Xenopus tropicalis: one gene and its partner. The main gene of each other region encodes a partner of the protein of the gene in region 2 in a complex. Links are inferred from orthologs where the notes say so. Each region holds a gene or a part of one and is shown on either strand. Other genes may lie near its edges.

What was found.
Region 1: med12 (region 2) and med21 share a complex: the UniProt entries of both Homo sapiens proteins name them as parts of the mediator complex. The link is inferred for Xenopus tropicalis from reciprocal best matches to the Homo sapiens genes MED12 and MED21.

What each region holds. Positions count from the first base shown.
Region 1 is NC_030679.2:3,066,240-3,069,996, reverse strand, and holds the start of med21 (mediator of RNA polymerase II transcription subunit 21), read right to left. Parts: upstream 2,619-3,757; 5' UTR 2,593-2,618; coding exon 2,551-2,592; intron 999-2,550; coding exon 884-998; intron 1-883. UniProt on the Homo sapiens protein: Component of the Mediator complex, a coactivator involved in the regulated transcription of nearly all RNA polymerase II-dependent genes.
Region 2 is NC_030684.2:44,402,636-44,406,292, forward strand, and holds part of med12 (mediator of RNA polymerase II transcription subunit 12), read left to right. Parts: intron 1-1,220; coding exon 1,221-1,325; intron 1,326-1,426; coding exon 1,427-1,618; intron 1,619-3,532; coding exon 3,533-3,657. UniProt on the Homo sapiens protein: Component of the Mediator complex, a coactivator involved in the regulated transcription of nearly all RNA polymerase II-dependent genes.

The DNA.
Region 1 (3,757 bases), on a different chromosome or scaffold from region 2:
CTCTGCTTCCTGTGCACGGGGGAGTGTATTTCCTGGTACCCATGTGACTGTCTCTGCTTCCTGTGCACGGGGGAGTGTATTTCCTGGTACCCATGTGACTGTCTCTGCTTCCTGTGCACGGGGGAGTGTATTTCCTGGTACCCGTGTGACTGTCTCTGCTTCCTGTGCACGGGGGAATGTGTTTCCCGGTACCCATGTGACTGTCTCTGCTTCCTGTGCACGGGGGAGTGTATTTCCTGGTACCCATGTGACTGTCTCTGCTTCCTGTGCACGGGGGAATGTGTTTCCCGGTACCCATGTGACTGTCTCTGCTTCCTGTGCACGGGGGAGTGTATTTCCTGGTACCCGTGTGACTGTCTCTGCTTCCTGTGCACGGGGGAGTGTATTTCCTGGTACCCATGTGACTGTCTCTGCTTCCTGTGCACGGGGGAGTGTATTTCCTGGTACCCGTGTGACTGTCTCTGCTTCCTGTGCACGGGGGAATGTGTTTCCCGGTACCCATGTGACTGTCTCTGCTTCCTGTGCACGGGGGAGTGTATTTCCCGGTACCCATGTGACTGTCTCTGCTTCCTTTGCACGGGGGAGTGTATTTCCCGGTACCTGTGTGACTGTCTCTGCTTCCTTTGCACGGGGGAGTGTATTTCCTGGTACCCGTGTGACTGTCTCTGCTTCCTGTGCACGGGGGAGTGTATTTCCCGGTACTCCTACCCCGTGTCTATAAACGCATTGGCTGATACACACAGAGCAGTGACAGACAGTTTCACACCCTTTGTGTGCTGGTCTGGTAGTCAGTGCTGGGGGTGTGTCAGTGCGCAGTGGGCGTGGTTACAATGGCATTTGGGTGGGTAACGGGGCAGTTTGGGGGCCACTCGCAGTCTCTCACCTTCAGTGGGGTTGGGCGGTTGGTCCTTGTTGATGCCCGTCTGGATGTTGCTGAAGGAGGCGGGGGGAGCGCACTGCTGGAGGACCCCGATGGCATTGCAGAACTGATCGGCCAGCTGGAGAGACAAAGGGGAGGGGTTACAACTCCATTCATCCAATGCCCCCCTGGCACTGAGGGAGTTAATAGGCTGGTATTAAACTGACCTGCTACATTGTGTCAGGAGTCAGAACCTGGGGGTGGAGCTGGGCACTGCTGCCAATAGCAAGTACTTATCTGTACCGGGATATATATATAGGGATTTACGGGGCTATATATGGGATATATGGGGCTATATATAGGGATATACGGGGCTATATATAGGGATATACGGGGCTATATATAGGGATATACGGGGCTATATATAGGGATATACGGGGATATATATGGGATATACGGGGATATATATGGGATATACGGGGATATATATAGGGATATACGGGGATATATATGGGATATACGGGGATATATGGGATATACGGGGATATATGGGATATACGGGGATATATATGGGATATACGGGGATATATGGGATATACGGGGATATATATGGGATATACGGGGATATATATGGGATATACGGGGATATATATGGGATATACGGGGATATATATATGGGATATACGGGGATATATATATGGGATATACGGGGATATATATGGGATATACGGGGATATATATGGGATATACGGGGATATATGGGATATACGGGGATATATGGGATATACGGGGATATATATGGGATATACGGGGATATATATGGGATATACGGGGATATATGGGATATACGGGGATATATGGGATATACGGGGATATATATGGGATATACGGGGATATATATAGGGATATACGGGGATATATATGGGATATACGGGGATATATGGGATATACGGGGATATATGGGATATACGGGGATATATGGGATATACGGGGATATATGGGATATACGGGGATATATATAGGGATATACGGGGATATATATAGGGATATACAGGGGGATATATAGGATATACAGGGGGATGTGGGATATACGGGGATATATATGGGATATACAGGGGGATGTGGGATATACGGGGCTATATATGGGATATACGGGGATATATAGGATGTACGGGGATATATATGGGATATACAGGGGGATATATGGGATATACGGGGATATATATGGGATATACAGGGGGATATATAGGATGTACGGGGATATATATGGGATATACAGGGGGATATATAGGATGTACGGGGATATATATGGGATATACAGGGATATATATGGGATATACAGGGGGATATATATAGGGATATACGGGGATATATATGGGATATACAGGGGGATATATGGGATATACGGGGATATATATGGGATATACAGGGATATATATGGGATATACGGGGATATATATGGGATGGGGCGGCGATATAATCCGCATCAGCTGAGGGAACCCTCATAGACATGGGGTTCTGGGTAATAAGATCCATTGGACACAGTGTGGGGGCTGCGAGCAATGAATGGAATAAACCATTAGTTACAATGTGACTATAAAGCCGAGATGGGACCCAACTGCGGGCAGCGAGAGGATGTATTTCCCTTCCCCACAAACCCCACAAACCCCACACACAGATAAAGCGCTCACCGAATTCAGCGCGTCCTGGAGCTGCGTCAGCCGGTCCGCCATCTTTCCAGCTGGCAAAGCCGAACCAGCCGCCCATACCTTCAGCGCCGCTTCCTATTGGCTAACTGGTACAATAAAGGTTTCTATTGGCTAAGGGTCACTGCGGCGTTTTCTCAATAGGAGGAACGAGAAACGCCTATTTCTATTGGCCAGCCTCAGTAGAGGCGGGGTTGTAACGGCGGAAAGGAGACTGCGCATGTGTACTTCTACCTACACTGGACGTTCCCTGCCAACTTGCTAAATAGCGTTCAGTGTGATACCTCTTTTGGTCGCTAGAGGGCGATGCTGCCTATTGGACAATTGTATTCAGGTTTTATATTCCATTTATGATGGAAGGGGGGGGGGGGGCCATAATCCTCCATGGGCTACACTTTTGCTGTGGAGTTGCTGCTACAGAGTCGCCAGTCTGTCTATGTTGTTTCAGGATAAATAGAATCAAGAAGAATTTAAAGAGACAGTGTTATTGGTGCCTGTGGGATTGCTGGGATTGCTCTCTAACCCTGATCCTGTTACTGGGGGGTCTCAGAGAGCGAGTAAATAAAGATAATTCCATAGAGATACAGTGGCCCTGGGGCCCCTGGTTAGCACATAAGGGCCCTAAGAAATTGGGACCCAAATTGAATATGACTTTCCCTTATTATCTGTATTGAAAAGCCTGTGTGGGCAGTGCCTGCTTAGACTTTCTTTTTTGTTATTGTGTGCCCAGAACATTCCTTCTCTGTATATTTGTATTTATACATATGGGTAGGAGGTGCCATAGTGTTTCCCTTAGACAGTACAGTATGGGGGTACAGCTTATTGTGTGCCCAGAACATTCCTTCTCTGTATATTTGTATTTATACATATGGGTAGGAGGTGCCATAGTGTTTCCCTTAGACAGTACAGTATGGGGGTACAGCTTATTGTGTGCCCAGAACATTCCTTCTCTGTATATTTGTATTTATACATATGGGTAGGGGGTGCCATAGTGTTTCCCTTAGACAGTACAGTATGGGGGTACAGCTTATTGTGTGCCCAGAACATTCCTTCTCTGTATATTTGTATTTATACATATGGGTAGGGGGTGCCATAGTGTTTCCCTTAGACAGTACAGTATGGGGGTACAGCTTATTGTGTGCCCAGAACATTCCCTCTCTGTATATTTGTATTTATACATATGGGTAGGGGG
Region 2 (3,657 bases):
TGCATAAATGTTTAAGAAGGGAGTTTAATTGCAAGCTTACATAAATTGAGACCTTTGAAGATTAAGGCTTTTAGTTGTTTGTGGAAAGGACAATGCTGGGTTGAGTAGGTCAGAAAAGAAAGAATGTTGAAGTTAAGGCTTTGGGAGGTTGACCACAGAAGAGCCAAGGCAGGGGTAGGTTGGCTGCTGAAGAGCTGAGTCATATGTTGACCAGAAAAGGCTGGAGAAAGCTAGCCAAATGTTTAGGGTCAGTTTCTGAAGGTTTTTGAGGGAAAATCAAAGGGCTAGGGGTACGTTGGATAGGAAGTGAGAAGAAGCTGGCAAGAGAAGAATGAAGGCCTTTGAGAGGTTTTCCAGTAAAGAGTGAAGGACAGTGAAAGTTTGTACAAGGAAAAATGGAGACCAGATACTGGCTCATGAAGAGTGGTGGCCAGTGAGATCTGTGCCAGGGAAGAGTGTGGGTTGCCAAGAGGATGGCCTGGAATAAGTAGAAACCAGAGATTAGTTTTCTGGGAAAAAGACTGCATAGTAATGTTAGGTGGGTCAGAGGGGAAGTGGAAGTTGGCTATGCATAAACAAAGGCTGGGTGGAATTGGAGGACATTGATGAATGGAGGCATCCTTAGAAATGGATGCTTGAGGCAGGTTGTCAAGCAAAGTGGATGTTAGCAAGGGAAAAGTGGAGACGGGAGAGAGGTTAGTCATGGAGGATTGGTGGAGGTTTGCCTCTAAAGGGCCTAATCTGGAGTTTGGTAAGGTAGCTGAGGCGAAGGGACAGAGTGAAGAATGAGAGGAATGGATAAAGGATACTGGATATGGAAGAACAGTCTTGAGGAAGGTTGGCCAGCATAGTAGCAATGGTAATATATTATGCTTGGTTAGGGTTAGCTGTACAAATGCTAGCTGATGACGAGGTGGTGGCTGTGGAGGAGTTAGATGGAAGACATCTGTGCATAAAGCTGACCTTAGGGGTAACTGCACACTATACAGAATATTACATTTGAACAGCAAAAATCAAAATATATTGTGCCTTTGTAGGGCAGTAGAAGGTAAAATGCTATACTTCTAGATTTATTTGACCTGGCAACAGAAAATTATTATTATTATTAAAAACAAAAAAAAGGCTGGCCCATGGTGGAGATGTCTCAGTGTTGCTTGAAAATTGATTACAACCTATTATGATACTGACATTTGGAATGTACTGTTCCTGTACTCTTCCAGGATGAACTTACAGCTTTGAATGTGAAACAAGGATTTAACAATCAGCCAGCTGTGTCGGCAGATGAACATGGCAGTGCTAAAAATGTCAACTTTAACCCTGCCAAGGTAATTTCTCCTATCCAAAACCAAATATCCTCCATATTTAGCCAATGCCAGTTACCTTGTTTGTTTCTGGGTTCTAAATAAATTCTACTTTGCATTTATAGATCAGCTCTAACTTCAGCAGTATCATGTCAGAGAAGCTGCGTTGCAACACTTTGCCAGACACTGGCCGCAGGAAACCACAGGTCAATCAAAAGGACAATTTCATGCTGGTCACTGTTCGCACTCAGAGTTCAATCAACACCTGGTTCTCGGACTTGGCTGGTACCAAGCCCCTCACACACCTCGCAAAAAAAGTGAGTCACATGTTTAATCGCTTTGTGCATATGTATGTAATATGACATGTACAAGACAAGAGCTTTGGTTTCCTTTACAGAAGAGAACCTTGGAAACATCATGTAATTTTTGTAGTGACCACTGCAGAGTACCTACTAAGATAATATATGTTTAAAATATATGCTTGTAGACTTTTTTTGTAACTGTGCAAAAAAACGTTTTAGAAAGCAGAGCTGAGGGTGTCTGGGTTGAGGTTAGCAAGGGGTTCTGAAAGGATTTGGGCGAAGGAGTTCTGATCGTAACGGATCCCGACAGTAGGATGCAGCAAGATACATAAAGCCACATATGCTGTGGAAGTGAGACTGAAACTAAACAGCAGCTGGCAGTGGCGCCTCTAGTGTTTTAGAAGATTCAAGATAGACATCTTTCTTGTGCAAGAACAGGCGATCCAAGTCCTTTTTAATGGCAATCACTGACTGTCCCGGTTGCCTTTAAAATAATTCTAATTAAAAATGATTTATTCTTGATCCATTATAATATGTAATTGTTAGGCTGAGATTGTCTGCTGCTAAAAACAGAGTTATTTGGAAGAGACCTGTAACCCCAAAGCTTCCTAAATGTTTGCTGAAACCTGACAGAGAAAACTTTAAAGTTATTATCATCGCAGCACTATTCATGGTGCTGCAAAGGGCTTTTTCACCATACCCTTTAAACTGTTATAACCATGATGTTGCCCTGTTGGCTGTCAGACAAACACCAGACCTCCAGCTGGAGAGCACCAGGATCTACATAAATTGCAAAATAATAGAATGCCTTCGAGCATCCAATATATGGTGGACAATTACCCTCTCCTACCATTTAGTGTAAGGGTTGCACTATAAGTTTGAGGGCAGGGGTCATGCTCATATCATTTCTGAACATGCTCAATGTACTACATTCTTAATCTGCAAACGCATTCCTACAATTTATTACTAAGAATAGATCACTATGTCAGATTTAGGCTTTAGGCCTGCACTAGAGCAAATCAAACACCTAATATAGTTATTTGTCCCTTCTTCGGTCTCACCGGACTGAAATCTCTTATATCTTCCTCAGTTGTTTCTCAATGATTGGGGTTTTTAATTCTGTTGAACGCTATAGAAGCCAAGAAGTTAACTGCCCGTCAACTGCAACATAGAATAGTTGGCAATGGTGATGGGCCATAGAGGCATATGGAGTCAGAAAGTCGTTTCGTTTCAGCCCTTCTGTCTTACCATTGGTGCAACCTTTGTGCATCTTGAAAAACTTCCAAAACTTCCCTTGCAGCCATTTTCCCTTGATTTTCTAGTCTTAAAGGAACAGTAACACTAAAAAATAAAAATGTTTTAAAATAATTAAAATATAATGTACTGTTGCCCTGCACTGGTAAAAGTTGTGTGTTTGCTTCAGAAAGACTACTGTAGTTAATAGAAATAGCTGTTGTGTAGCCATGGGGCAGCCATTTAAATTGAAAAAAGGAGAAAAGGCACAGGTTACATAAGAAGATTACAGATAACTGTGTAGAATACAATGGGAATCTAGGCTACTTATCTGTTATCTGCTTAGTAACCTGTGCCTTTTCTCCTTTTTTCAATTTAAATGGCTGCTCCCATGGCTACACAGCAGGGTATTTATATAAACTTTAGCAGTGTTTATGAAGCAAACACATAACTTTTATCAGTGCAGGGCAATAGTACATAATATATTAATTATTTTTATACACTTTCATTTTTTGGTGTTACTGTTCCTTTAAGTAAGAATATCTCTGCTGTGGTATCTTCCAAATTTTGTGAACACATTAGGAAAAAGCATAACAGGCTTTGTCTTTGTGCATAAATCTAATCATAAAAACACTTAGTAAATATGGTACAGCCTACATTTCAAACATAACCTCTTTTCTTTTTCGTGACATGCAGGTACCCATATTTGGAAAGAAGGAAGAAGTCTTCGGCTTTCTAGCTCGTTTCTCAGTGCCTGTGATGAGGGCTGCCTGGCTCATTAAGATGACCTGTGCATATTATGCAGCCATTACAGAAACCAA